Linked DNA regions of Neurospora crassa OR74A. The protein of the gene in region 7 purifies or fractionates together with the protein of the main gene of each other region. This does not show direct contact. Links are inferred from orthologs where the notes say so. Each region holds a gene or a part of one and is shown on either strand. Other genes may lie near its edges.

Evidence for each region.
Region 1: the proteins of NCU08323 (region 7) and NCU04348 purify together in Saccharomyces cerevisiae (affinity purification with mass spectrometry; 7 studies listed by BioGRID, with this or other methods). This does not show direct contact. The link is inferred for Neurospora crassa OR74A from reciprocal best matches to the Saccharomyces cerevisiae genes ENP1 and BMS1.
Region 2: the proteins of NCU08323 (region 7) and NCU06047 purify together in Saccharomyces cerevisiae (affinity purification with mass spectrometry; 4 studies listed by BioGRID). This does not show direct contact. The link is inferred for Neurospora crassa OR74A from reciprocal best matches to the Saccharomyces cerevisiae genes ENP1 and RPS2.
Region 3: the proteins of NCU08323 (region 7) and NCU01595 purify together in Saccharomyces cerevisiae (affinity purification with mass spectrometry; 7 studies listed by BioGRID, with this or other methods). This does not show direct contact. The link is inferred for Neurospora crassa OR74A from reciprocal best matches to the Saccharomyces cerevisiae genes ENP1 and SOF1.
Region 4: the proteins of NCU08323 (region 7) and NCU00301 purify together in Saccharomyces cerevisiae (affinity purification with mass spectrometry, with the first as the bait; 3 studies listed by BioGRID). This does not show direct contact. The link is inferred for Neurospora crassa OR74A from reciprocal best matches to the Saccharomyces cerevisiae genes ENP1 and SAS10.
Region 5: the proteins of NCU08323 (region 7) and NCU01367 purify together in Saccharomyces cerevisiae (affinity purification with mass spectrometry, with the first as the bait; 3 studies listed by BioGRID). This does not show direct contact. The link is inferred for Neurospora crassa OR74A from reciprocal best matches to the Saccharomyces cerevisiae genes ENP1 and RRP9.
Region 6: the proteins of NCU08323 (region 7) and ck-1a purify together in Saccharomyces cerevisiae (affinity purification with mass spectrometry; 8 studies listed by BioGRID, with this or other methods). This does not show direct contact. The link is inferred for Neurospora crassa OR74A from reciprocal best matches to the Saccharomyces cerevisiae genes ENP1 and HRR25.

What each region holds. Positions count from the first base shown.
Region 1 is NC_026504.1:3,692,578-3,696,772, forward strand, and holds the start of NCU04348 (ribosome biogenesis protein), read left to right. Parts: upstream 1-1,395; 5' UTR 1,396-1,495; coding exon 1,496-1,574; intron 1,575-1,632; coding exon 1,633-1,703; intron 1,704-1,769; coding exon 1,770-4,195. Other genes in the region: NCU16822 (hypothetical protein), read right to left, coding at 1-48, 120-266. UniProt on the Saccharomyces cerevisiae protein: GTPase required for synthesis of 40S ribosomal subunits and for processing the 35S pre-rRNA at sites A0, A1, and A2.
Region 2 is NC_026507.1:1,982,840-1,986,725, forward strand, and holds NCU06047 (40S ribosomal protein S2), read left to right. Parts: upstream 1-1,484; 5' UTR 1,485-1,647; coding exon 1,648-1,923; intron 1,924-2,072; coding exon 2,073-2,330; intron 2,331-2,392; coding exon 2,393-2,656; 3' UTR 2,657-3,386; downstream 3,387-3,886. Other genes in the region: NCU06048 (40S ribosomal protein S30), read left to right, coding at 242-275, 341-474, 539-562. UniProt on the Saccharomyces cerevisiae protein: Component of the ribosome, a large ribonucleoprotein complex responsible for the synthesis of proteins in the cell.
Region 3 is NC_026502.1:2,998,055-3,001,755, forward strand, and holds NCU01595 (SOF1), read left to right. Parts: upstream 1-1,212; 5' UTR 1,213-1,469; coding exon 1,470-1,475; intron 1,476-1,555; coding exon 1,556-2,587; intron 2,588-2,647; coding exon 2,648-2,947; 3' UTR 2,948-3,201; downstream 3,202-3,701. Other genes in the region: rpn-6 (26S proteasome non-ATPase regulatory subunit 11), read right to left, coding at 1-275, 351-433, 506-690. UniProt on the Saccharomyces cerevisiae protein: Required for ribosomal RNA processing.
Region 4 is NC_026503.1:3,362,661-3,366,913, reverse strand, and holds NCU00301 (Sas10/Utp3 family protein), read left to right. Parts: upstream 1-1,458; 5' UTR 1,459-1,607; coding exon 1,608-3,002; intron 3,003-3,060; coding exon 3,061-3,549; 3' UTR 3,550-3,753; downstream 3,754-4,253. Other genes in the region: NCU00302 (3-ketodihydrosphingosine reductase tsc-10), read right to left, coding at 1-703, 774-929. UniProt on the Saccharomyces cerevisiae protein: Primarily required at the G2/M phase. Essential for viability: involved in nucleolar processing of pre-18S ribosomal RNA as part of the ribosomal small subunit (SSU) processome.
Region 5 is NC_026505.1:3,791,120-3,795,285, reverse strand, and holds NCU01367 (rRNA processing protein RRP9), read left to right. Parts: upstream 1-1,366; 5' UTR 1,367-1,553; coding exon 1,554-3,443; 3' UTR 3,444-3,759; downstream 3,760-4,166. Other genes in the region: pcb-4 (proteasome component C11, variant), read right to left, coding at 1-167, 254-503, 578-735, 792-793. UniProt on the Saccharomyces cerevisiae protein: Involved in nucleolar processing of pre-18S ribosomal RNA. Required for efficient pre-rRNA cleavage at sites A0, A1 and A2, and biosynthesis of 18S rRNA.
Region 6 is NC_026501.1:7,561,987-7,566,145, reverse strand, and holds the start of ck-1a (casein kinase I), read right to left. Parts: upstream 2,801-4,159; 5' UTR 2,685-2,800; intron 2,538-2,684; 5' UTR 2,370-2,537; intron 1,755-2,369; 5' UTR 1,709-1,754; coding exon 1,697-1,708; intron 1,606-1,696; coding exon 536-1,605; coding exon of another isoform or gene 532-535; exon of another isoform or gene 421-531; coding exon of another isoform or gene 411-420; exon of another isoform or gene 408-410; coding exon 335-407; 3' UTR 1-334. UniProt on the Saccharomyces cerevisiae protein: Protein kinase which phosphorylates serine and threonine residues. Can use casein as a substrate. Phosphorylates elongator complex member ELP1/IKI3 on 'Ser-1198' and 'Ser-1202' which promotes the tRNA modification function of the complex.
Region 7 is NC_026504.1:2,401,673-2,405,899, forward strand, and holds NCU08323 (bystin), read left to right. Parts: upstream 1-1,499; 5' UTR 1,500-1,663; coding exon 1,664-2,283; intron 2,284-2,344; coding exon 2,345-2,473; intron 2,474-2,536; coding exon 2,537-2,709; intron 2,710-2,777; coding exon 2,778-2,996; intron 2,997-3,050; coding exon 3,051-3,191; intron 3,192-3,267; coding exon 3,268-3,428; 3' UTR 3,429-3,727; downstream 3,728-4,227. Other genes in the region: NCU08324 (DNA-binding protein HGH1), read right to left, coding at 1-644, 718-831, 900-1,049, 1,120-1,140; NCU16789 (hypothetical protein), read left to right, coding at 3,871-3,946. UniProt on the Saccharomyces cerevisiae protein: Required for normal export of the pre-40S particles from the nucleus to the cytoplasm.

The DNA.
Region 1 (4,195 bases), about 1.3 Mb from region 7:
CTTGGTCTTGGCGATCTCCTCATCGGTAGCGGTGTCCTTGAGGGTAACCTGACATAGTGAACAGCTGAGGTCAATAAGAGTCTTATGGGTAGTGTGAGGCGCGAGTGCGGCATGCTTACAATGTAAGAAGGCATCTTTGCGGTGGTGGGAGGGTTGTTTGGTGAAAAAGTTGGTGTTGCTGTATGGAAATGTTGAAACAGAGTGTAGTGGTTGGTCGTGAACTTGGAAAGTCGGTACTGCGTCTCGAGGAGCGGACGAAGGAGCATCTTATACGTGATCAAGGGACATGCACAAGTGGACTCGAACTACCTACACCACAGATGCACATGTGCCAGATAAGCGGCAATCATGCTAGATTGGTCTTCCTGCCACGCCGTCAGGAGCCACAAGTGACGCGGCACCAGGGACATTAGCATTCTCTGGAGCGGATGATACGTCATATCCACTTGGACCAGACTTGCTGCGCCTACCGCAGGTCGTTTTGTGACTTGTGACACTCTTTTGGCTGCCAGGCGTGGGGATGACAGAGACAATCCTTCATCTCAGCGCCCAACAAGACAGCCTTGCACACAACCACCTAACGAGCGCTTAGGCGCGGGCTGAGACACTAGGAGTGGTGTGGGAGGATGGATCCAGTCATCTTCCGACCATCTTGCTACTCAGGATCTTGGATGTTGTTACCTATCTGTTGTAACTCTGAGCCTAGCCTATACGCCATACCCTCCTCATGTGTGTAAATCGGAAACCCTCCTTCCCGCGACAATTACGTATGTAACCCTCAAAATGGTGTGTTATGCAAGAAGGGCTGCCATGGCCCATGGCTGTTTGACTTTGCGGGCCCATTCGACGTTCCTATGTCGAGGCCGCAAGTTATCAACTATGATAGCTCTTTCATGGTCTCGACTCTTCTTCAACCGTTTGTTGGGAGGTCCCTGAACAATCCAATGCATTTACATAGCGTGGTATGTAGTCTCCACCAGTGAGGGAGGGCTTGGTACAATAGAGGTAGTTAGGTTGGTCATGCTCAAGACAGCACAAGATATCTCAACCACCCAACGGAATATCTTCGTATAAACCTTTGGAAATAGTTACTCCGAAGACACAGCTCACCCAGTAGTTGGTTGAAGATAAGAAACGGGACTATACGTTGGGTTCGTCTGTTGTTCAAGGTTCCAAGACTTGAAGGTCGGGACTGCCTGTCAGGGTCTCCAACTCCCCGCATGCTGCCACTGCTTAGTAGCGGGTGCTGCCGGGGATAGGTCCCGTCGCCTGCCGCGGAAAGAGGTCCCACTATTCAGGTATCTTATCGCTTATCGATAAACGTCTTGGCGTTCCATCAGAAAACCGACTATCCAAAAAATTTGGACAGCAGCTTTTTGGCAGCAGTTGAATTGGGAGCGAGTCCCGTCGCATTTCCACTTGCACCTGTTTTCGCGACCGCGTGTCCATCTATACTACTGAACTTGCAAAAAGTTCACGGACACCAGCCGTAATCATGGCCGACGTCCAAGCCCACAAACCCCATCGGGCTTCCAAGAAGTCCAAGGAGAAGGGGGCCTCCAAGCATACAGGTGGTATGTGTATTCAATTGTTTCTTTTATCGTTACTATCCACAGCTGACCGTCCCTGCAGAAAAGAACCCCAAGGCCTTTGCCTTCTCCAATCCTGGTAAACTCGCCAGACAAGCCGCCAGATCCCACGATGTAAGAAGACATTCCCTCGCTCCATCCTTCAATGACTTCTTATAATTAACTGGTCTTGTTCCGCAGATCAAAGAGAAGCGTCTTCATGTCCCCGCCGTCGACCGTCTCCCCGATGAACCACCCCCAAGACTCGTCGCCATCGTAGGCCCCCCTGGCGTAGGAAAGACCACCCTTCTCAAGTCTTTCATCCGACGATATGCAAAGGAAACCATCCAAGATCCGGTGGGACCTATCACGGTCGTCACCTCCAAGAAGCAGAGATTGACCTTCATCGAATGCGCCAACGAACTCGAGGCCATGGTCGATATTGCAAAGGTCGCCGACATTGTCCTTCTCATGATCGATGGAAACTTCGGCTTCGAAATGGAGACTATGGAGTTCCTTAACGTTCTTGCCGCCACGGGTATGCCCGGCAACGTCTTTGGCATCCTCACCCATCTCGACCTGTTCAGGAAGCCCCAAGCACTAAAGGAGGCAAAGAAGAGGTTAAAGCACAGACTTTGGAGCGAACTCTACCAGGGTGCCCACCTTTTCTACCTTTCCGGTGTCCTGAACGGCCGTTACCCCGATCGCGAAATCCACAACCTCTCCCGCTTCTTGTCCGTCATGAAGAACCCCCGCCCGCTCGTTTGGCGCAACTCCCACCCTTACACCATCATCGACAACTACCGCGATGTCACCCACCCCACCCAGATTGAAGAAGACGAGAAATGCGACCGAACGATTGAACTCTCCGGTTACCTCCGTGGTACAAACTTTTCCGCCGAGGGCCAAAGGGTACATATTGCTGGTTTGGGCGACTTTACAATCAAAGAGATGGAACAATTGCCGGATCCTTGCCCGACTCCCGCTATGGAACAAGCGCTGGCCAAGGCCAGTGGCAAGACTGGCAGAAGGCGACTCGACGAGAAGGACAAAAAGCTCTGGGCGCCCATGGCGGACCGCAGCGGCTTGAAAATTACTGGCGATCACATCGTTATCACTAGGGAGAACGGCTTCACATTTGACAAGGATGCTGTGGGCATTGAGCGCGGCGAAGGAGAACAGCTCATCATCGACCTGCAGAACGAGAGGCGTCTCCTTGGTCAAACGGACGAGGGTGTCAAGCTGTTCGCGAGCGGACAAAAGATCAACCAGCTCCCTGTCGAGGACGAGGATGTCGGAAACACTGGCCGCAAGAGCCGAAGAACCGCCAGACTTGCCGATGGTGAGAGTGGTGAACCGCCAGAGGACGAAGGCTTCGAAAGCGGAGAGGAAGATGAGATGGAGGATGGATCCGATGTCGAGTCCGAGTTCAACGAGATGAAGCTGGGCAAGATGTTCAGGAAACAGACCGACGACGACCAAGAAGAGGACATCGCCTTTGCCGACAGTGACTCCGACCTTGGTTCGATATCCGGCGATGAAGACCAAGGATCCGACTTTGACGATGACGAGGACGACGAGGAGGATCCTGAGCTCAAGTGGAAGGACAACATAATGGAGCGCGCAAGTCAGATACACGGAAGGAGGAAACCCTTCCGCGCTGTCGACTTGGCGAGGTACATGTACGACGAGTCGATGGCCCCCACAGAAGCCATCAAGAAATGGGCCGGTCAAGACGACGAGGAGGAGATCGAAGAGAATATCGAAGAGGACGACGAAACCTTCTTCCGGAGGACTGGCAAGGAGGACAAGGAGGACTCTTGGGAGGATCGCATGATTCCCAAGTTCGACTACGAACAACTAGAAGCCAAGTGGTCTGACAAGGACGCTGTCGAGGCTCTCCGAAACAAGTTCGCCACCGCCAACCTACTTGACGACGCTGAGGGCGAGGGCGAAGATGGTTCGGATTTCGAGGGTCTTGATGACGAGGACGACGATGATGAAGGTGACGGTGCCTTTGAGGATCTCGAGACAGGGGAGAAGCACGGCGCTGACGACGAGGATGAAGAAGAAGAAGAGGAGGAAGGAGAGGAGCAGCCAGCAGAAAGCCTTGAAGCCGAGCGTGAGAAGAACGCCCGCCGAAAGGAGGAGCTCAAGCTTCGCTTCGAAGAGGAAGATCGTGAAGGTTTCAAGAACGACAAGGCGATTGCCAGGCGAGAAGGTGGCAATGATGACGAGTTTGGAGAGGACGACTGGTATGATGCTCAAAAGGCCATGATCCAGAAGCAGCTCGACATCAACAAGGCGGAATACGAGAACCTTGATGAAAGCCAAAGGATCGCTGTCGAAGGCTACAAGGCCGGCAAGTACGCCAGGATGGTCATCGAGGGTGTCCCAGCAGAGTTCGTCAAGAACTTTAAGCCACGGATGCCGATCGTTGTCGGAGGTCTTTCGGCCACGGAGGACAGATTCGGCTTTGTGCAAGTTAGAATCAAGAAGCACCGTTGGCACAAGAAGATTCTCAAGACGGGAGATCCCCTCATCTTCTCCCTCGGCTGGCGCCGATTCCAGTCTCTTCCCATCTACTCCATCTCTGATTCTCGGACGAGAAACAGGATGCTGAAGTA
Region 2 (3,886 bases), on a different chromosome or scaffold from region 7:
ACGTAGCGGTTGGCTCCCGACTGCCCTTTTCGGGACGATAAAACAGACGGGAGTCATCGGTGAATGTTTGACACGGCCGAATATCTTACCTGCCAGATACAGGTATAAAACATCCCGAGTCCCTTCCTCACATCATTCTAAACCCTTGTATTGTCCCCCTTTCGGCCCATTCGCCGTCCAATACTCACCCAAAAACAGTCACAAAAAGCCACTCACCACCACTCCATCACTACCATTAAAAATGGGCAAAGTTCACGGTTCCCTTGCTCGTGCCGGTAAGTTGCAGTTTTTGATGCCATTTCGCCACACCTTCATCACCAAAACTCACACCCATCTTCAGGCAAGGTCAAGTCTCAGACTCCCAAGGTTGAGCCCCAGGAAAAGCCCAAGACTCCCAAGGGCCGTGCTCACAAGCGCGAAATCTACACTCGCCGTTTCGTGAACGTTGTCACCGGTCCTGGCGGCAAGCGCAAGGTAGGAGGGCTCACTCACGCTTTGCTTCCAGGTCGCAGTTGTGCTGACATATCATCGAATCCAGATGAACGCCAACCCCTCTGCTTGAAGGGCTTATCTTTTGGAATGTTGCTCATTCGCAAATAAGCAAGCAAGCATCTCATGGCGTCTCTAGGCGTTTACTGATTCTACCTACGAGGGAAATGGTCATGGCCATGGGCATATCGGGAACGCAGGAGCATGTGTTGGACTTGGGTACTCAGTTCATCCTCTACTATAGGCTAGGTTTCCGGTGCAAAGGCGTTTTGATGGAATCTGATGATGCCCCCTTCTTCCAGCTAGGTACAATAGGAAAATCGATTTGCCCTTTGGGCACTTATTCAGAAAACGGCTCTCTTCTTGATCATATCAGCGTGTGATCCCTGGAAGAGGAACGTGCAATACCAGGTCGTTCTGTGTGAGTTGGATGCCTCTATGAGTCTATGGAGACCGACAGACTGGAGGCACATGTCGCAACTAAGAGACGAACACCTCCACTGAACCATCTGATGATGCGACAAGGTAATGTGCATTTGCAAATGGATGTTGATATCGGGTGTTCACTGGGAATCTGTAGCGACAGTGAGGAACTCCGCAACAACTATCGACAAAATTGAAAGATTTGTTGACACGAGTCCGATACTGAAATCTCCACGCGTTGGTAATGACAAGAGTGAGAACCCCGATGGCCTACAGAGGGAGGGATGGACTTCAATGATCGCAGTGGGGCTTCAATTTGCCCATGACGGGTTGAAACTGCCCCGGCATTCAAGGTTCACGATTGCAAGTTCGCGGCGGGACTGACGGTGCGACGGCCAGCCCTGTAGGTAGCTACAGCAAGCAGTTGGGCTGAGAAGCAGACAGCCTGGTCCGTGCACACTCATTGTCCATGCCAAGCCTGACAGCTGTAACCCCAAATCTACCCCACCTTTCGGCTGCCAGGCGGGACAAAACCCGCGGATAGCCAATGAGGTGGGCGTTAGGGTTGGTGCCAAAGGCGGAGCGCACCAGCAAAATCCAGAAATCGCAGCGAAAAGCTGCGACCCCCACCAGGCGCCCGAGAAAAACGTCGAGTATCTGCACTCCTCAACCAGTCCACGACGACGACCAGCAACAGACCCTCCGTCTCCGATACCCTACCGGCAAACCGACATAATGGCTGATCGTGGAACTTCTGGCCCCCGTGGCGGCGGCTTCGCTTCCCGTGGCGATCGTGGTGGTGACCGCGGCCGTGGCCGTGGTGGACGTGGCCGTGGCCGTCGCGGCGGCAAGTCCGAGGAGAAGGAGTGGCAGCCCGTCACCAAGCTTGGCCGTCTCGTGAAGGCCGGCAAGATCAAGAGCATGGAGGAGATCTACCTCCACTCTCTCCCCATCAAGGAGTACCAGATCGTCGACTTCTTCCTCCCCAAGCTCAAGGATGAGGTCATGAAGGTGCGCAGCAACGAATTCTTTGATGCCCGGAGGATGAGGTTGAGGAGGGGGAGGAGCGAGAATCGCAGGATTCGCGACGACATTGGGGGGAACTGTGCTTGAAACCCCACGAAACTGCATGCTGATATTGTTGTTTTCTCCCTCTGCAGATCAAGCCCGTCCAGAAGCAGACCCGTGCCGGTCAGCGTACCCGCTTCAAGGCCATCGTCATCATCGGTGACTCCGAGGGCCACGTCGGTCTCGGTATCAAGACCTCCAAGGAAGTCGCTACTGCTATCCGCGCTGCCATCATCATCGCCAAGCTCAGCGTCATCCCCGTCCGTCGCGGTTACTGGGGCGCCAACCTCGGTCTCCCCCACTCCCTCCCCGTCAAGGAGTCTGGCAAGTGCGGTTCCGTCACCGTCCGCGTAAGTTATACCCAGAATTTGACCCGAGAAGCTGGAACTGGCGCTGACTGCGATCCTCATAGCTTATCCCCGCTCCCCGTGGTACCTCCCTCGTTGCCTCCCCCGCCGTCAAGCGTCTTCTCCAGCTCGCCGGTATCGAGGATGCTTACACCTCCTCTTCCGGCTCTACCAAGACCCTTGAGAACACTCTCAAGGCTACTTTCGCCGCTGTTTCCAACACCTATGGCTTCCTTACCCCCAACTTGTGGAAGGAGACCAAGTTGACCCGCTCTCCTCTTGAGGAGTTCGCCGACACCCTCCGTGAGGGCAAGCGTTACGCCAACTAAGCGACTGGTTGAAAGTTGTTTTCAGCTAGCGAGGATGGAAGGATTCTTTCGGGCGTCTGTGGTTATTTGATTGCATGGGCTCCGGGAATGGAATAGATGAAGGCTGTTGTCCCAAATACCTAGTGCGATCGGCCTGAGTCCCAAAATTGATGAAATGACCAACAACGACAAAGCCCCCATTCGAATAGCGAATCAACGTGAATGTTATGGATGGTAGCGTTGTGGGACAATGTGTTCCATGCGGTCAAGGGTCGTCGCTGCTCATACTACGGACAGCTGTTTATTTGGTTTGCGAGCTTAACATGCTGTATGGTTCGCGGTTGCTAACAGCTCAGCAGACACGGTTCACACAGAAATCACGTACAAGAGACCAAGCTTGGAGTGGTAGGTAGCCTTCCACTTAAGTTGCTTTCTATACTGGAAATGGCCTGTCCGAGAGGCAGCGCGGTAGGAAGGGACTCGTGACTTGACCTTGAGATACCATCTAGGTAGTCACTCGTGACTGTTCCTCGAGGGGTCGGTTGGTCTTGCCCCTTTCCCATGATGGCGGTTGTGCAGGAGTTGACTGGGAAAGAGCAATCGCTTCTCCGGCTTGACAAAAGAGCATCATCTTTCTCAATCCCCAATTGATGTTTTTTTTTCTACTCTTCTCCATGTTCTCTTCCATCACCAATACTCTGCTAGGCCGAGCACCGTTCGTTTCCCTCTTTTTTTTTTTGGACCACGGGTTTTGGACTTGTGAGTTTTGGAACCGCTTTGGCCTTCTGCCCTTGGAAGTGTATCAACTACCTACACAACTGGCCTCTTTTCCTTTTTCTTTCTTTCGGGTAGACACAGTCGTTTTCTGGCTACCATGCCGTCCGCTGGTCGTTACCTGCTACCCCTACTCCTTCTTCCCATCAGCCTCGCTTCCAACCATGTCTCGGACAGCAAGGAGACAGGAACAACCCCGGCCCTTCGACATGTCCACCGCCAGGTAGAAAATGGTGAGCCTCAGGAGCCCAAGTCAGACGAATTGGGTGCCCCTGGCCTGATAATCGATCCTGATATTTTGTCTTTAGTGCTCAATCCTCCAGCCCAAACTACTCTTTTGGTTACAACAAGTACTGGTAGTGCCGCAACCCCACTCGAATCGAACTCGGCGGTCATCGGGGGTCTCATCTCGTTGCTCAACACCATCTTGGGTTCACTGACGACCAGTCTTTCTAACATCGGTACGACAATGGTCAG
Region 3 (3,701 bases), on a different chromosome or scaffold from region 7:
GAGGGCGTGGTATACCCGCGACTCGAGCAGCTGGACTTCGACGAGGACGAGCTTGTCGTCCATGCGCTTCAGCTCACGGAGGAGACCGTTGATGAGCGTCAGGGCATCGTAGTAGGACTGCTTGGCCATGTACAAGGCGACAAGACGGGTTTCGAGGTTCTGGCGGAGGAAAGAGCGGCGCTCTGATGTGGCCCATTCTATACACGACTTGGTGACGGAAATCTGGATGTCGAGAGAGTCGGGGATGGCTTCGAAGAGGTCGAGGAGCTGGCGGACTGCATGTATCAACCAGTGTTAGTATCCTCATGAGCTTGTATAGCGCGTCAACAAAGCTGATGGCGGGGTCGTACCAAGCTTTGCCGTCTTTGCCTTTGCGAACGAGGAGAGAACTGTGCGGCTCTGGGTTACGAGGTCTACAAGGCCTTGTGAGTTCCTGTACACGGTGATGGGAGGTTAGTGACCGTACCCCTCCTCGATGACCACGACATACACCAGCCACTCTTACTTCTCGTCGCGATAGAGCTCTCCCAAGTGAATCAAAGCCGTCTCGTATTCCCGGATGGCCGCGTCAGAGGTGACTGATGGCGGCTTGGAGATGATATCCTTGTAAATCTGCTCGGCCTGGCGGGGGTCGGTCGAGACCACCTTCTGCGCCTCGCGCACTCTCTCTGATGCTTCGCCCTGGGCCATGGTGTCGTGTGCTGGTTGTCCCGGTCGCCAAGTGGTAAGCGGTAGTAGTATAAATCGAGAGTTTGGCTATCGGATTGGATGTGATGGTGATTACTCGAGGTCGCGGGGGGATATGCGGCGTGTCGGTGGTCGCAGAGTGTCGGCTTGGAAGTTGTGGTTGTTGTGGTGTTGAAGTTGGAGCTCAGGTTGTTCTGTCGTGACGAACCTCACCACCCGTCCTCTGCTGGAGCACAGCTGTTACCCAAGTCAAGTGCAGGCGGCATGTCCACTAACGAGACCTCTGTACACTACGTACCACCGCTAGGTAGCCAGGCGCGACGTAATTAGCTGGAGACATCCACCTACAGATCCCTGTCAATTCACGGCAGGCAAGCCCAGCTCTCGGTAGCTCAGGCCCTGTCCATCCTTTTGGCAGCGAAGCTCTAACATTCCAAGCCTAAGCGTTTAGCAAACTGCCAAGAAGGCGGTCAAGATTCTTGCCGCCAGACCCCGCCAAAATTTCTCCAGAGGAAGGGGAACGGGAGCTGTCAAACTGCCCGTGTCCGACTGTGCTCCCCAATTGGCGACAGACGCTCCCGGCATCCATCCATCCATCCATTCATTAATTCCAACGTCGATAACTGTATCACAGCACCTGTGCTTTGCGACAAGGTGTACCGACAGACTTCAGCCATACCCGGCCTCATCATATACAATTATTCACACTCGATATCCGTCGGCCTTGGTAGCCTTCTCATCCACGACCCCTTCAACATCATCAACAGAGAAACACCGTCACCATGAAGGTACTTGGGCCTACCACACGCGACGCCCATCAAGATTCGCAAACCCACTTCTAGGCTCACCACTGACACTTCTACAACAGATCAAAGCCCTCAGCCGAAACATCTCGGCCCAGCAGGCCCCCGGTAACGACGTCACCCGCGCACCCCGTAACCTTGCGCCCGAACTCCATCCCTTCGAGCGCGCTCGCGAGTACAAGAGAGCCCTCAATGCCGTCAAGTTGGAGAGAGTCTTCGCCAAGCCCTTCCTCGGCCAGCTAGGAAATGGCCACGTTCAGGGTGTCTACAGCATGGCCAAGGACAAGAACTCGCTACACACAATCGCTTCCGGTTCGGGTGACGGTATCGTCAAGGTCTGGGATCTCACAACACGGGATGAAGCATGGAAGGCTGCCGCCCACAACAATATCGTCAAGGGAATGACCTTCACCAACGACAAGAAGCTTCTCACATGTGCCACCGACGGCATCAAGCTTTGGGACCCTTACACCAAGACCGACTCCCCAACGCCACTCGCGACATGGCAGGAAGGTGGTCCATACACGGCTCTCTCGTTCCACCGCAACACCAACTCCTTCGTTGCCTCTTCGGGCGCCGGCTGCATTCGTATTTGGGATCTCGAGCACAGCACGGCTCCTCAGACGATACAGTGGCCGAACCACAGCGACACCATCACCGATGTTTGCTTCAACCAGGTTGAGACCTCGATCGTGGGTTCCGTCGGCACAGATCGCTCCGTTATTCTGTTCGATTTGCGCACCAACATGCCCGTCATCAAGACTGTTCTCAAGTTCGCCGCCAACCGCATTGTCTTCAACCCCATGGAGGCGATGAACATGGCTGTTGCCTCAGAAGATCACAACGTCTACCTCTTCGACGCCAGGAACTTCACCAAGGCGCAGAATATCCAAAAGGGCCACGTTGCGGCGGTTATGGACGTCGAGTTCTCTCCTACCGGCGAGGAGCTCGTGACTGGTTCCTATGACCGCACAATCAGGGTGTGGCGCCGTGACCAGGGCATGTCTCGCGATGTGTACCACACCAAGCGTATGCAGAGGGTGTTCCGGACTACCTGGACTATGGATTCCAAGTACCTTCTCAGCGGTAGTGACGATGTACGTTGTCTCCTTTCTTTTCTCCAACTGTTCGATCAGCACAGCTAACGTGATATACAGGGTAACGTCCGTTTGTGGCGTGCCAATGCCTCGGAACGCAGCGGCGTCAAGGCGACCAAGCAGAGACAGGCGCTCGAGTACAACAAGACCTTGGTCGAGAGGTATTCTCACATGCCCGAGATCAAGCGCATCTCCCGTCACAGGCACCTGCCTAAGGTGGTCAAGAAGGCGGCCGAGATCAAGCGCGAGGAGCTTGCGGCCATCAAGAGAAGGGAGGAGAACGAGAGGAAACACTCCGTCAAGCAGTTCGAGAAGCGCAAGGCAGAGAGAGAGAAGGCTATCCTGGCCAAGCTGGAGTAATTGCGGTGTTCTTGGCTTTTGTGTGCCATGGTTTGTGCGGTCTCTCGCGCTTCACGCTATGCGTTTACTATTTTCTTTTGCATTGGGCGGCGTTTCTTAGTGGGAAAATTGTCAGGCTATTTGTTGATGAGACTTTCAGGCAGCGGAGTCTCGCTCGGTCTATACGGAGTTCGATACCACATATTCGATAGTATTTTGTTTCTGTGTTCGTCTCTATGTGCAAAGCAAAGCGACCATGTCTTCCCATCTCTTCCAAAACACCTACACCACTCCTTCAGGCGCCCTGTGGACTCCGGCCTCGCTGCTTGACTCTCTTTGCATGGTCACTTTTTTTTCCTCGATTCCTCCTTTCCGGTTGATCAAGGTTCACCTGATTTCCCACAAGTCAGACGGTCGATTTCGTGGACCTGACCAGTACCCAGAAACTGGCGTCAACATCGTGCAGCATTGGCATGAACCTCATGGCCTGGATAAGAAGAACGAACGACATGGAATCGGACGGTCACGGCGTGGGTTGGGATAGTTGGAGGGAAGGATACGGGTCGTTTGTGGCTCATCCGTGGCCATTGATGTGGGCTACCCTAGATCTAGCGCGGCCTGCGTTATTGGATCAAGTAGATGGCTCTCCTGTCTCGATCTGGCTCGAAGACCGGTTGGCAAACAGCAGTCGGAGTGTGGCTCAGCCATCAACACAACCAAACTAGTTGTAGTTGTGCCCTTAGAAAATGGGAGCCCACCTCCGGGCTTTGGGTAT
Region 4 (4,253 bases), on a different chromosome or scaffold from region 7:
CCCTCCTTGCTACCGTATCCGGGCTTTCCGCTGGCTCGTCCTTTTCCAGCTCCACCGTGATGTCCGGCTTCGTCTGATTTTCCCTCTCGTAGCCCGGTGATACAATCGTGCCGGGATACACAATGTGCACCTTGACCGGGTTATCTGGGTAGTAATTGACCTCCATCGCCAGGGTATCCGCCAGTCCTCTCAGCGCCCATTTGGTTGGGGTGTACGGGCCATAGCCCAAAATCGCAAAAAGCGCCAACATTGACGCGGTAAATACCAAGTGCTTCGGCTCTCCGTTGGGTCCCGTGCTGTTTTCGGGTGCCAGCCACTCCCTCAAAATCGCCCGCGACATCTCCGCCGACCCAAAGTAGTTGACGTCCATGTTGCGGCGTGCGGCCGCCATGCTGCCATCGTCGGTCCACAGCAGAGGCGTCGACATGCCGGCCACGCACCAGACGATGTCCGGGGAGCGCCCGCCATTCCAGGCGATAGCTTCGGCGAGGACCGCGGCGGCGTAGTCGTGCTCGGAAACGTCGGCTGAGATGTAAGTGAAGCGTTGTGTGGACGGGTTCTTGGCGGCGGCGCGGACGTCGACGAGGGCTTCTTCAAGGCGCCCGACGTTGCGCGAGACGAGGATGACATTGGCGCCCTTTTGCGAAAGTTGGATGGCCGCTGAGCGGCCCATGCCTTCGGAGGCGCCGGTTAGGAGGACGGTCTGGTAACAGGGGTTGAGTTAGTGTTGTTTGGAGGTCGGGTCAGGTCGGGTGAGGCTTCGGGGCGCATACCCGGCCCTCGACTGGCATGTGGTTTTTGGAGCTGAAGAGACCCATTGTAGCAAATATGCCAATGGCCGCGACGACGGCTGCAACTGGGAGAGACCAGGAGGTGCTGAGGGTTTTCAATTGTTCCATCAGCGACTCTGAGAAGAGATAATGGTTCATCCTTCCTTGGATCGTGAAAGAAGATCGGGCTCGAGGAAAGTGGAATTGTTGACGCGGCGGCGCCTAAGCTATTCTGTATACGTCTAGAGTACGAACGAGTACCTCTACGGCGTAAATTTAGTGGATGCTGTCAGCAGTTCCCGTCGTACTGGAGCTTACACCCCTGTCTGTAAGTGACTTGTTGATGGGTGATGATTCGACCGATTTCTTCGCACTCCGTAGGAAAATGAGGTTTCTGGAACCATTTGCTGGAGTTTGCGTTTTCGAGTCTTCAGAAGCGGTTTTCTCTACTGTCATAACTGAACCCATTGAGGTCATGTCAACGTAAATCTGGCAGGCCTGGGGGGCATCTTGGAGCTTCCCGTCGACCCTGAGGACGGGATGGAAGCTTTGACCATTTCAGATGTAACTGTGGAGCATCTTCAATTGTGGGGTTAGGCAGCCTGCATGAGAGTGGAGCTGGGCGGTCGAGGTTCCGCTGAGAATGGATCGCAAATTGACAAGAGCAAAAAAATTCTGCCGCTTCAACATTTGTTGCCCGCCTAGCGAACGAACCCACCAGCCCATTCAACGAGCATCTCCAAGTGCCTTTTGGCAGCGTCTTCACGTCAACGTTTCTCAGTCGCGCCAAACTCCATCCAACACGCCTGAATAGATAACCGCGACACAAACGCAAAAATGGCGAAGAAGAGAAAAGCCCCGAGACCGACCGGTCCCGCCGAGCCTCGCGAGGTCGATGCCAAGGACGCCCGCCTTACCGTTAAGACTTACAAAGATGTCGCCAACTCCGAAGACGAATACTGGGAGAACCAGGATCGCATCGACTTTGACGACAGCGATGATGGCAGACAATCCAAGCGCAGGCGCCAAGACAAGGAGGAGGAGTTCCTAGAGGCTTCTGACGAGGAGGTTTTCGAGGAGGACGAATCCGATGAGGAGAGCGAACACGAAGACGCCGCGCCCGCGAAGGGCAAGAAGGTCAAGACAACAGTACTTTCCGACGAAGAGATGGGTGGTGAAGAGGAGGAAGAAGGTGACGAAGGATGGTGGGGTTCCTCCAGAAAGGACTACTACAATGCCGACCAGATCGAGACCGAGGCCGATGCCTTGGAGGAAGAGGCTGAGGCAAAGAGGCTCCAGGCCAAGAAGTTGGCCAAAATGTCCGAGGCCGATTTCGCGTTTGACGAGAGCGAATGGCTAGGAACCAAGGAGGAGGCCGAGGGAGAGGAGGATGTCATTACCGAGAAACTCAACGAGATCGAAGTCACAGAGGACATGGGGCCGGAAGAAAGATACAAGCTTCTACAGAGCCGATATCCCGAGTTTGACTACCTGGCGCAGGAGTTTAGGGAGCTGCAGCCGATTCTCACAACTCTTCAAAAAGAGGCCGAGGGCAAGCCTGCCAAGTCTCTGGAGATGGTCAAGTTCTGGACTCTTGGGTGTTACATCGCTTCACTCGCCAGTTATTTCGCTATCCTGACTTCGCCAGCAAGAGACAGCCAAGGTGTGTCCAAGACGATCAGCCCTACGGAACTCAGGGACCACGAGGTTATGGGCACGTTAATGAGCTGTCGCGAGGCCTGGCTTAAGGTCAAGGAACTCAAGCCGCTCAAGAGCGTCTCCTCGACCAGCGGCATGCTTTCGCCACCCGAAGATGAGGGCGAGTATGATGACCTGTCTGACGACGATATGGAGGACTTCAAGAAGATGCTCAAGAAGAGCAAGCGCGAATCCAAGGCTGAGCTCAAGGCCAAGGCGAAGAAGGAGGCCGAGAAGGCCAAGAAGGCCAGGGCTGTCGAGCAGTCTCTTGCCGATCTCTCCAGTTTGCTTGAAACCACCAAGACGGCAACCAAGGCCAGCAAGAAGTCTGTCAAGGTCGACAAGCGCGATGACGATGAGCGCTCCGACTTTGGTGACGAGGAGATCCTTGAAGCTCACGTGGCCAAGGAGAAGGCTGCTCGCAAGAAGAGTCTCAAATTCTACACCTCCCAGATTGTGTCCAAGTCCGCCAAGCGTGCGGATGCGGGTCGCAACGCCGGTGGTGATGACGATCTTCCCTACCGTGAGAGATTTGTAAGTCGGCCATTGCCTAAAAAACATGCCGTGTTGTCATATACTGACTTTTGCGCAGAGAGACAGGCAAGCACGGCTCAACGCCGAGGCCGAGAAGCGCGGCAAGAAAGACAGCAAGCACGGCGCCGTGCTGGGCGAGGGCGACAGCGACGACGAGGACAAGGCCGTTGCCAAGCAGGTGCGCGGAGAGGAGGACGAGTACTACGACATGGTGGCGCACAACGCGGCCAAGAAGAAGGAGGACAAGGCGGCCAAGTACGAGGCTTTGGCGGCTGCCAAGGGCGCCCGGGTCGTGGAGGAGACGACGATCGGCCCCGACGGCAAGCGCCAAATCAACTACCAGATCCAGAAGAACAAGGGCCTCACGCCGCATCGCAAGAAGGAGAACCGCAACCCGCGTGTCAAGAAGAGGATGAAGTACGCGGAGAAGCAGAAGAAGCTCAAGAGCGTCAAGGCCGTGTACAAGGGCGGCGAGGGCAAGGGCGGGTACCAGGGAGAACTGTCGGGTATCAAGACCGGCTTGGTCAAGAGTATCAAGCTTTCTTGATAGGGCTCTGGTTGTCGTGGTTGTTGGACTGGTTTGTAGTACTCTGGGTATATCATGCATGTATAGATTTTTGGGTTGTTGATAATCATGGCCTCAACGGAAATGGAAAAAAGCAGGCTTGCACACACAATGGCATTGTATTTCTTGAACACACTTGATACCTCTTCAAGATCTACAATATCTACAATGTCCAGTATTCTCAACACCGGAGGTCGCCGGTACTCGCACCCTGTTCAATCGTGTTAGTACAGGTTCATGGTAAACCCCGGGTCTGAGAATAGGGCTATATAAGAATCCCTCTCATTTTTTTTCTTTTTCTTTTCCATCCCAATTTTTAGTTCCTCTTCGTTTCTGTGCCCTTCCCTGGCATTTCTTGTGTGCCAGATTCCGAAAGAGCGAAGGCGATGTTGACTTGGAAAGGATACAAGGCCTGCGAGGGAGCCAATAGGAGCTCTGAGACGAATCAATGCAAATGCCCAAATCTCAACTTTGGATAAATGTAACACCACCACATGATAAATTATTAGATTGGGCAGTTTCTGAACAAACACAACATCCTAAACCGAACACTTCAATTTCGTTATCTTCAGTACAGGTATCTTCAACACGGATCGTTCAAGAAGTAGAGGTAATTTTTGGGATGAAACACTGGAATGTTAGAGCAATGATTAGGACATGCCACATTATTTTTTTCCAGTCCACCA
Region 5 (4,166 bases), on a different chromosome or scaffold from region 7:
CGATATCGATGATGCCGTCCTTCGTTACCGCCTTGACCGTCATGCCCTTGAAGTCTATGGGTAACCTCCTCTTGAGCTCGTCGGTGCACAGGTTGAGAAGCTTGATACCCTGGTGGAGGGTGATGTCTGGGTGGTGGTGCTTGTCGAGAATCGAGAGGCAGTAGTATCTGATGAGGAAAGAACCGGTCAGTGATTCTGTACATGACTCCTACGCATCAAAGACGGTACAGAGATATCGGTCGAGATCACATACTGTGCGTAGCCGTGGGCGGCATAGGGGACCTTCGCCAACGACGCAAGGTAGTCGAGCCAGTAGAGGCTGGGCTTGTGGGTGATAGGGTCGACACCTCCGAGAAGGAGGTTTACGTTGTAGGGTTTGCGGGAGCGCAAGCTCGTCGCAAGCTCGCCGCGGACAAAGTTGGCAAGGGCAGAAGGGGAAAGGTCGGTCCCGTTGCGCATGGAGTAGAGCTGGGCGTTGGCTTGGGTGTACTCGGCGAACTGCACTGTCGATGGGAACAAACAGTTGGTTAACTTGGTTTGGTTCAAAAGCGCCATCATCACGATATCGCTGCCGTACCTGTGTCGCCAGCTTCACCGGAGAATGCCATCAGTGTGTGCTTGTTCAGCGACCTTGTCTTGTCGTCGGATGCCTTCAGGATGGTCGCTCCCCGCATAGCGGCCTTGGACGCCGCAATGATGGTAAAGTCCTTGCCCGTGATGCCTAGTAAAACCTCCCTACATGCTGATCAGCTCTGATATCACCTCTCCAAGACATGACCGATGCGACGTACATTTTGGCTGATTGTTATGTGAGTGAATGGATGATATGCTGTTGTTTTGGTAAGCTTTGGCAAGTTGCGTTGGCTTGCACGGTTCTCGTCGTTACCTACCTATGGCGGGACAGGGCAGTTGGAGCTTGAACTGACGGCGACGGGGAACGCGCACTGGAGCTTCAGCCTGCAAGCTGACAAGACAAGCACGGGCCAGGCTGTTCAGGTGCCCGCTATCGTCTTCCATCTTTCCATTCCAGTCCCCAGAAGGGCTGAAAGCTGCAACCACTGGGCAGGCAAGCAGACAGCGAGAGAGACAGCCCCACTCCGTCATGAAACCTGCCAGGATGGCCCGGGGACGTCTTTTGGAGACAGCAAGAGCCTCCCCACCAGCCGACTACTAACAGCTCGCTAGCTCGGTTCCGCGTGACAGAGCCCCTATATCTGTTAGTGACGCAATAAGGTAGAGTGCACGGCACGGGGATTCCCTTCTCCGACTCGTTCAATTGTGCCAAGCCAGTGGAGGAGATCTTGACGAATCGGCGTGCTACTCCACCGATAGAAAGCCTGCAGGGTGGGCAACTTTTTTTTTTCTTCGAAGTCCATCGGGTCGGGTGTGTCTAGGCGCGAACGGCCATCCCAAAAATTTCAACTTTGATAGCCATGCAGCAGCGTTGAAGTGAAGCCGAACGCGACCCCAATTCACATTCCAGTGTCATTCTCTACCACCAGACGACTCCAGTGCATTTGCACCGACCGCCCCGGGCCGCAATTGCCAACACCATGTCGTCCTTTTTCACAGCACCCGCTGGGGAAAAGAAGAGGAAGCGTGCCTCTGCCAACGAAGCCCCCCAGAAGCGAGTTGCGACTGGCAAATCGACTGCCAAGTCATCGTCGGTCAGAGGCCCTGCCGCCAAATCACGTCCCGCAGCCCCCAAGAAAGCCGTTGAGCGCGACGAGTCGATATCCGGCAGCGACATTGACAGTGACGATGGCGACCACATTGAGAGAGAGGACGGGTCGGAAGGAGAAGAGGAGTCGGACCACGAAGGAGAGACGGCGGCTGAGAAGCGGTTAAGATTGGCACAGCGATATCTGGACAAGGCACGACAAGAGGTGGAACTGGAGGACGAGTATGCCTTTGACGCCGAGCAGATTGACCGTGATTTGCTGGCCGAGCGTCTTCAGGAGGATGTGGCCGAGGCCAAGGGCAAGGTTTACCGCCAGTTGGCTTCCAAGCTCGACTTTGACAAGGCCGCACACACACAGTTTCGATGGAATTCAGGAACGGTAACATCAGTCTCGGTTTGCGCGCCGTACGCTTACACCACCACGAAAGACGGCTACCTTACCAAGTGGAAGCTACAAGACCTACCCAAGAACCAGTGGCCACAGACGACCAAGAAGAAGCCAAAGAAGCCGCCTGCGCCGCCCAAGAAGAAACCCGAGAGAGTGTGCTTCAACAGGGCGAACCCGATCAAGGCAAAGGACAAGACATACCAGGGACACACCAACGCGGCCATCCTGACGGTCAGGGCCTCTGCCGACGGCAAGTTTGTTGTCACCGGCGGCGCCGACAAGCGAATGGTCGTCCATGACGCCGAGACCCTCAAGCCCCTCCGGGCCTTCACCCAGCACCGCGACGCCGTTACCTCGCTCGCCTTCCGCCGCGGCACTAACCAAATATTTTCTGCCTCCAAGGACCGGACAGTAAAAGTCTGGTCGCTCGACGAGCTCGCCTACGTTGAAACACTCTTCGGCCACCAGGATGAGATCCCCGACATCGACGCTCTGGCCGGCGAGCGCTGCGTGTCCGTTGGCGCGCGCGACCGGACCGCCCGCTACTGGAAGGTTCCCGAGGAGTCGCAGCTCGTGTTCCGCGGCGGCGTGTCGGAGAAGAAATCCCATAAGAACCGGGACCAGGCGGTGAACCACGATGGCACCATGGACCAGGTGGCCATGATCGACGACGAGCTCTTTGTGACTGGCGACTCGGCCGGCACGCTCTCGCTGTGGGGCATCAACCGCAAGAAGGCGCTGTTCACGCAGCCGTGTGCGCACGGCATCGACCCGCCGCTCAAGCCGACCGAGGTGTCTGCCGACGCGAATCCGGACGAGAGCGTGGTGCCCACCCCGCAGCCCCGCGCCATCACCGCCCTCCGCACCATCCCGTACTCGGACGTCATTCTCTCGGGCTCCTGGGACGGCTTCGTGCGCGTGTGGCGCCTGAGCGAGGACAAGAAGAAGATTTTGCCTGTTGGCGTGCTCGGTTCCAGCACGGCGCTGCAGCAGCTTGACCAGGCCGAGGCCCAGAAGCAGAAGGAGGAAGCAAAGCAGAAGGCAAAGGCGGAGAAGGAACCTGCAACCGCAAGCAGTGGGGAGGAGCAAGCGGACGACGAGGCCTCGGTGGATGGGTCGCAAGACAAGAAGAAGAAGCAAGAGAGCGGGCTGATTAGGGGTATCATCAATGACATTGCCATCTTCGAGCGCGGCAACCGCGGTCGCGACGGCATCTGCATCGTGGTCGCCACAGGCAAGGAGATGAGGCTGGGAAGGTGGAAGTACATGAAGGAAGGAAGAAACGGCGCTACTATCTTCGAGGTGCCCAAGGTTGCTAGGCGAGCGGGGGCTAAGGGGGAGGAGAGCGATGAGGAGGAAGAAGAGGAGGAATAGAGGAAGAAGATGGGAACCATACGTACGTTTGTTCTGTCTTGTTTTGTCTACCTCGTTTGACGGAGCGGGACATGGGAGAAACGCGGAGAATGAGGAAGAAGAGAGCCAAATAATCATCGCCTGTTGAAATTTGTTACAAAGTGCTCTGGACGTTATATCGCATTCGCGACAGCCAAGCTGTTCATAGACAAAGGAGAAGGAGAAAGTAGAAAGAGCAAGTATTGTACATACCACACTATATCTTTTAGGTAGCCTCACTGCATTTGAAGGGAGTTGAAAAGTTTCTGGTCATGAATCCATTCCACTAGATTTCCGATTAAGTTGTGCCACACAGAGCCATTAAAATACTATGGAATCTCTCACCAATATATCATCAAAGGGATGGTAAACTTCTTGTAATGTGCTCTCCGTGGAAAAAAATATCAACAGAGGATTGGTAGTTTGTTAGATCACGCTGCGCTACTTCTTCCTCCAGCACAAGGTTGAGGCTCCATCATCTAGCTCGAGACTGAGATGGCCACCCGACTCAAAGGTACTCCTCGAGGCCTAGCTGGACGTCAATACCGCCAAATATTCCGCCTGCATGATAAGATGTACAAGACTTGGGGAGTTCGAGAGTTTCAACTCCAAAACAATCAAGCAACGAGCTTCAAAAAAGACAACGCAGCCATGCTATACCAGCCATCGAGGCCTCAAGACCATGCAATGCAAATGGGCAGATGC
Region 6 (4,159 bases), on a different chromosome or scaffold from region 7:
AGACAGATTCGACCAAGAGTCGAACTGCACTGCCGCCATAAACCGAAGATCCGTCCGAGCCATGAATAAGGGCAGTAACTGATAGAGATGCCGAAGAACGAAGAGAAGCAATCTGTCGCAAGTAATCCGTCTGGCTGTGTAGAGGAGATGCATCGGTCGATGGTGCTGGCCAGGTACAGCCATCCGCTTCCACTCCATCCAGACGCTCGAGGGACGTTGGATGACGAAAGGCGGGTGCAGGAATCAAACCATTTGACCAATGCGCAATCTGCTACTCCAACAACCCGCCGAAGATCTTGTTCCAAGTAGATACCATGTGCGAGCAACCGCAGTCTCATTCCATAGGACGATACCTGCCGGCCACATGTCCGGAGCCAGCGCCTTGACCTTTAGCAGCCGAGCGCAGCCTATTATCGCAAACTGAACGTCAGCCATCATGTCAGCATTCTACCTCCGGCCAGCGTTATTGAGTACACCAAACTCGAAGGAAACAAGATTCCTTACTAGGAATGCTGGGCTAGGCTGGCAAACTCACATCCTGTCGCTGCCACCGACGGCACGGCTGGTCTCAGGTGTCTCGCCGGTCATGGGCTTCCTGGATCCGCTCCTCAGGGCCTGCTGAGGGTCCTTACGAGCAGCAGCCTGGGCCGCCTCCTTGGAGTCCGCAGGCTGGGGCTGGCTGGAGTTGCCAGCAGCCTGCTGGATAGCCTGGGCGTTCTTCTGGTACTTGTAGACGGTCCAGTCAAAGACGTAGTCATACTGGAAACCTTCGCGGACGAACAAGTCACGGAAGATCTTGCGGAGATAGCTGTAATCAGGCTTGTCATCGAAGCGGAGGGAACGAGTGTAGTTGAGGTAGATGGCAAACTCGTTGGGGAAGCCGCGGCAAAGAACCTCGGTAGGAGTGGTCATCTTCTTCTCCATGATGCGGTCGTACTTCTGCTTCTTGGTGGCAGCCTTAAGGCCCTGCCACGGGAGGGAGCCGCGGCAAAAGTAAAGCATGACGTAGCCAAGGGACTCCATGTCGTCACGGCGAGACTGCTCGACGCCGAGATGCGTGTTGATGGAGGCATAACGGGCAGTGCCAGTAAGGTTCTTATTCTCTCTGTAAGGAATGTGGAAGTGAGTCTTGGGATCTCTGTACTTCTTGGCAAGACCAAAATCGATCACGTTGACCTGGTTGCCACGCTTGCCAATCCCCATAAGGAAGTTGTCAGGCTTGATGTCGCGGTGGATGAACGACTTGGCATGGATGTACTCGATGCGGGAGATGAGCTGATCAGCAAGCAGCAAGACAGTCTTCAGAGAGAACTTGCGGTTGCAGAAGTTGAACAGATCCTCCAAGCTGGGGCCAAGAAGGTCGAGGACCATGGCGTTGTAGTCACACTCAGTGCCGAACCAGCGGACAAAGGGGATACCAACGCCACCGGCGAGAGACTTGTAAACGCGGGCCTCGTACTCTAGTTGAGGGTGTTTGGCCTTCACGCTCTCCAGCTTGATGGCAATCTCTTCACCGGAGATGATGTTGGTGCCGAGGTAAATGTCACCGAAAGAACCAGAGCCGATCTTGCGACCGATCCGGTACTTGTTACCGACGCGGAGATCCTAGCCTTCCAGTTAGCAGGATGCAACCTTTGACGTTGGCAACCAAAGGCCTAGGAGGCCGTGGTGATTCGGAATTGACGGATAAGCGTACCATGGTAGTCATGTTTGCGGTTAATAGGGGAGAAAGACGAATCCCAGAAGATCAGTAACTATAGCCGATAGATGTCAGTAAAAGGGCCATCAAGGTACGCATACGCAACGATGTCGAACGCTGAGCTGTCGAGAAAGGCCAGTGTCGTCCCAGGTGTTCGGGTGGGAGTCCTTGCCCGGCTCGGTCACAATAGGTTGTTCGACTGCTCCATGAAGTGGCCCATGTGTCAATGGTGACGGCAACATTTCCAGAAACCTCTGCAAACACATCCACATCGTGCATCGCCCTGGAAGACGGAGCGTCTGGACGGCGTGACAACACTGTCCATCAGGGCTATGTCGACACGGACGTGTTCAACGATGGCCTGGGCGACGCTGCCATCCTTGGGGAGCATTGTAGTGATGCCATTCCCACCATCATGCCAAGAAGGGTGTCGAGGCTATTGAAAAGCCTATCAAGTCGGTGTCGTGACCGATGGCGACGGTGTGCATCCGGGCAAACAGCGGGCAAATGCGGCCAGCGCGGGCAGATTGGTTGGCGGACGGGCCAACAATCAGCTCACCGATACATGGCGGCAGCTGAGTGGAACCACCACAATGCGTGCAGCAACCTCCCTCGCTCGCTGGGAACGACAACCCGTCTGACGGAAATGATGATGGAAGTTTTAACTCACTCTTCGGCGGGATGTGTTCTCCTTTTGTAAACGGTCGTCGCAGACCGAATGCTGTGCTCAAGGGTCGTCGAGACCAGGATGGCAATGAATAATCGAGAGGGGCGTGCGTGCCGAAGAAGGCTGCTTAAGTGATGTTGGAGCGTCGGGGGCGATGAAATGCAGCTCAATCTGTACGGGTATGTGTTAAAATGCAGTCGAGACGAAGCGTGCAGCGGCAAGCTGATGGACGCGGGCTTGGTGTTGATGTATGGTGCAGCATGCGGGGGAAGAAAAAAAACAAGAGATTGTTTTGGTGGTTGGGGTAGGTTCTCTTACCGTCGTCGTCGCCGCCGGGAAATTTTAGGTCGTCGGTGGTGAGACGGGGGGCGAGGGAAAGGACGATGTGAAGAGGGAAACGAGACAGCGAGAAGGGAGGAGGAGGCAGTTTGGTGACTGGGACCGACTGGGACTTCTGGACAGCCGACCGACCTGGGGGACTGGGGACTGGCAGGATTTGAGACGGCAACGCCAAGTGCCAGCCAGGCTCGCCAGATCGACCAGGCCCAGCCAGCGCGCGCTCTTTTGGCTTGGTTCTTGGCGGCATCCAGCTGGCGAACTGACGGGAAGTGGAGGAGCCGTGATCCACCGCCGCCATCCACAGTGTCACAGTGCGGGCCAAGCAATAAGCCGGACACAGTGCCAAGGTGAGCGAGATGGCAAAAAATGACTGGAGCTCTCTCACTGCACCGTCGGACAGCGAGCCACCTCAGGCAAGGGCCAGGCGTCCCAGGCCTGCCAGCCCAGGGCATTGGAGGGCGGAGTTTCATGTGGCTTCTGGGCGCGCCCTTTTCTCTGGCAATGTCCAACTGTCATCCAAAGATCTCCGAATGCAGGCTTGCTTTTCAAACAAACAAAATCTGCTGATTTGCAGTTCCCCAACAGGCAAGGCAAGACGCCGGCAACACCTTACGACGGCAGGATAGGATGCAGGCGGCACTGCAGTGGACATTGCGTGGGCAAGGCAAACGTGCTGCGGTAAGGTAAGGTAACCGAAAGGCTTATACTTGATGATGCGGGCAGGACCGCACCGTACCTCTACCTCTACATACCTCTATTTACGAGGGAAGGCATGATACACCGCGCCTCCCATATTACGCCCTGTGAATGTGGAAGAGGTCGGAATGAAGGCTCAGCGTTTTGTTAGGCAGAAACTGGACGGGGCCCAATAGCCAATCCAGTGCCAAAGTGCCTGCCTGCTTTCAGTTCGTTCTCTTGCTGTACGCAGTACTATTGAGAGTCTGTGCTGTATCATATTAGCTTGGTTGGCTCCCGGTCCCAAAATTAATACTAAATCTGACTGGTATACGTTACAACAGCAATTGCGACAAATACGACATCCATAACCCATCCGATATCAGCTTCGAAGAGAATTGAACGGCACTTTGATCAAGTCAGGTGCCTTCTCTGACTACTTTAGAACACTACGCAGTACACATTCTGTGACCAATGTCCCGCTTCTTCCCCGTTCACAACTGCATCATTGTGATGTTTCACTATGGAGACTATACGACAGACGGAATGCAGGAGCCCTCTTTCAAAAGATCAGACGAAGGGACCAAAACACAAGCAAGGCGCATCGTTCAACCATGGCGGGATTGACAGCTCGGTGTAGTGTACATTCTGCGTACGACAGGGCTCTGTACCATAATCACACAGACAGTCGTTTGCAAAAGCGATCAACATTCCCCACCCCGTGGGACAAAACCTCTGCGACTGGCGTCCCGACAGCTTGGAACATACCGAACAAAAGC
Region 7 (4,227 bases):
TGGGTTTCCCGAACAATGGGGTAAACACTGATGCTCCTCATCAAATCGCGGCCAGCTCTCGTTGTGGTGAGGAGAGTAAGAGTTTCTAGGTGTGTCAGGATGTTGCTGCTGTCGGGATCGCGCTGCTTGTCTGGAGGCAATAGCTGAAGATCGGTAAGCATTTCCAATGCCTCATCCTCGGGATAAACTTCGCCGCCCATGATAGGAAGTAAAATGTAGGGTAAGATATTGACGTCATCCTCATCCAAAAACGCCGGGTGCGAAGGAATGTCAAAAGCAGCGTTCTTGATAATGCTCGCCACTCCCTTTCGCCTGATATCGGACTTGTGTTCGGTAAAGACCTTGATCTTGTTGATTGGAATAACATCGTCGTAGTCCTGTCTGTTGACAAAGTAGTGCCGGATCTCTTCATGTTTCGAAAGGTCGGCAAAGACGTAGGAGAGGTAGTCGTAATCGGCGTGCTTGTTGTAAGTCCCGTCGGCGCCCTTGACGAAGAGGTCCATTAGTTGGTTAATGACCCTATCGTCGGACTTGAGCTTCTCTGGAGCGGGCTGTTTCCGGTCTAGAAGACTTTTGAGTCCATCCCACTTGGTCAAGTTTGCCAGCAACATAGCCATAAGATTGGCGTTAACCTCCTCGGGCTCCTATAGGAACGGGATCGAAGCGGTTAGTCCTTGCTGCGCACGCACCGTAGGAGCTCAGAATGGATACACATACGACAAGAAGCCCGAGGAGGATTCCAAGGAAGCGATCATCGGTCGCGACGTATTCCAGCACATCCTTCTCGGCAGTCAAGTTGATCAAGCATGTTAGGGCGTGCTCGGCGATTTTCTGCACATGGTACCGACGTCTTAGCTGAAGCTGCTTGGGCGCAAACAAGACAAGTCTGTTGGGCCTACCGGGTGGTCGCGGATCAAGAACTTGAGATGCTTGATGGGGGTGAGCTCGTCGGTCTTGAAGAGGGCGGGCTGAGACGCTGAGAAGGGCACCAGGTTCTCTGTCGCGAGAAGGCGGATGTTGGCGTTCGGCGAGGCAATGAAGCCCACGAGCTTCAGGCGATTATAGCGATTAGTTGTCTGTCCACTGACATTGACACTGCACTGGTTCTGGCAGAATTACCTCTTCAAGTTCGGTCGGCATGTTATCAATGGTAGCTGGATGTATGGTTGTATTGGACTTGCTATAAGCTCGTAACCGTGGCGAGCGAGGCTATGATGTCGCGACTTCCCTTGCTCTTATTCATGCAGTGGGCCAAGCTGCAAAAACTGTAAACACAGGGAACAAAATTCCAGGAATTTGCAACCGAAGAGGGGCACAGTGACGAAAATGCGGGGCAATAAAATGTTTATCGCTGCTCCGCCGGGCGCGTCCAAGCTAGACGATAAGCGATAAGAGGTATTGTACCGCTTATCATTTTCACCGCCCTGGCATCAGAAAATAAAGTGTGCCCACACAGCAAAGAAGTGACCAACCACAAGCGTAGCGCAAGCCTTTCAAGTGCCCAGACTTCTCCACGGCGGGAACAAATTGTCCAAGGGTCGCCGAAAAAAATATCCCCAATTGCCGTGTGCAGCCAAGTCGACATCGCAAAGAGAGGGGACAACCAGGAGAGCTCCGTATCATCAACTCTTCCCCCGATTGCACAACCCTACCGCCATTCAAGATGCCCAAGACAACAGCGGCGACGTCGAAGAGGCGCCACAACCCCCTCGAGGCCGACCTCGTTTCTACCGGCGTCCTTAAGAACAACTCCGGCAAAAAGAGCAAGAACACTCGCGCCGCCAACGACGAAGATGAGCAAAAGTATGTCGACGCCAAGGCTTCGCGCAACATTTTGGCTATGAGCCGTAGCCTCATCGAGGAGGAGGAGAACCTCCGGACAACACAAAACGCAGCCTCCGGATCTGCTCCTTCGGCGTTCGAGTTCGATCCATCGAGATTCGACCGCAACGATGACGAAGACGACAAGTTTGAGAACGACGAGGCCTGGGGCGAGGAAGAGGAGGAGGAGGTAGAGGAAATCGAAGTCGACGCCACCGATCTCGAGACATTCAACCAGTTTATCACACCCACAATGAACGAGGACCCGCTCCTAACACACGGATGGGATGGAAAGCCAGAAGGGGCAGAAGAGCAGGGTCAGAGCGTGAACCTGGCGGACCTTATTCTTGCCAAGATCGCAGAGAAGGAAGCCGGCGGCCCCCAAGGCGGGTACCGCGACGAGCCTGGCCCAATTGATGAGGATTACGAGATCCCCCCAAAGGTGATGGAAGTGTTTGAGAAGTAGGCTGGCCGTTATTTCTGTTACCCTCTTGGCAGACTACTGACAGACTCCTTCTCGCAGAATTGGCATGATTCTTTCTCGCTACAAATCTGGGCCGCTTCCCAAGCCTTTCAAGGTCCTTCCTCAGATCCCCCACTGGGAGGACATCTTGCCCATTACACAACCCGAGTCCTGGACTCCCAATGCCTGGTATGGTTGCTTCTTCCTGTTTTCGGGAGCCAGAGAAACGCTGCTGACATTTGCGATTGTTAGCTACGCGGCCACCAGGATATTTGCGTCCGCCAAGGAGGCTGTTCTTCAACGGTTTATGGAGATGGTGATCTTAGAACGCGTCCGCGAGGACATTCACGAGACCAAGAAGCTCAATGTCCATCTTTTCAACTCCCTAAAAAAGGCCCTCTACAAGCCTGGTGGTTTCTTCAAAGGTGTGTTATTTACTGCCTACGCTTAGTCAGGTTTGCTCAAAAGGGACAACCCAGCTAACCGTTGGCAGGCTTCTTGTTTCCTTTGGCGGCTTCCGGAACGTGCTCGCTGCGTGAGGCGCAGATCGTAGCCGGTGTTTTGACCCGGGTCACCATTCCGGCTGTTCATTCCGGTATGGCCATTAAGGGCTTGTGCGAAATTTCTTCTGCGCAGGCTTCTCAGCGCCTCGACTGCGTTAGCGCTACGAATTTCCTCCTCAAGACTCTGATTGAGAAACGTCACGCCTTGCGTAAGTCCAATTCCTAGCGTGCCAATGATTGTATTCTCTGACTTTGTAATACAGCCTTCCAAGCGCTCGATGCCCTCGTCTTCCACTTTCTTCGGTATCCCGCTTTCGCCACCGGCGGGCATATGGCACCCAACGCTTTACCAGTCATCTTCCATCAGTGCATGCTCTCATTTGCACAGAGATACAAGACGAACAGTGAGTTTGCTTCTTCCGTCGCTGTTTCACTATGCGTCCCTATTATTTTTGAGTACTAACCGCGGTCTTTGTGTAGTTACTGAGGACCAGCGAGAGGCTCTCCTGGATCTTCTCCTAACTCACGGCCATGACAAGATTTCGCCCGAGATCAGGCGAGAACTTCTCGCAGGTCGCGGAGGTGGTGTCCCTGTCGCGCAACCCGGATTTGATGGCGATGACACGATGCTGGACGCTTGAAGAAACATCGGTGATCCGGTAATGACTTATAGACGATGAACCCTTGGTATGCAACGAGGACATGTGGCTCATTTTTACCTGGTACGCGCATAGAGATGGGAGTCGTGTTGTTTAGTGACCTTGGTGGCTTGGGGCAGTCCTTAGACATTGACCCCTTTGATAATACTATGTCACGCCTCGACAGTGGCTACTACTCATCACGCCGCTTGAAGAGGAAGTGGTCATGCCAAGTCAGTCACCATGTACTACCCTTTGTATCTTAGTGGTGCTGACCAACCAGCAACATAATTGTTGACGACCTGTAATGCTTTAGTGCACGAAATTATAAATTCAAGATACCCGGTACAGCAACAGGAATTGTCGAGGAGCCTTGGAATAATCATTTTCAGTTATGTGAAGGAAGCTGCCTTTTGACTTCTTTGTTGCGTCAATCTGGCTTGGAATGCCCTTCTCCCATTTTTCCAAGTCCAAGGCAACCGCGATCCTCTGCCACGTTGTCGGAATCCTGAGAGAACAGTGTAAAGGGAAAGAAGGCAATGTAGCTCTCGCCTACTTCGATATCTCGTGTATCTGATGGCATCATCCCGTATTAGGTGCTTTTACCATACGAGTTTCTAGTGTTCTCTTCCTAACACCCGGTCAACCCGAACATTCTAAGCACTCCGCCCCTCTCGTTTCCCTATTTATTCTTGAGATTGCTTTCTTACCCCGAGACACCAAGTTCTACTCAGTATTTCCGCAAGATCAGGATTTTCGGCGCTGCTTTCTGGCGTTTCGCCTAAGAATCCCGACACCACCT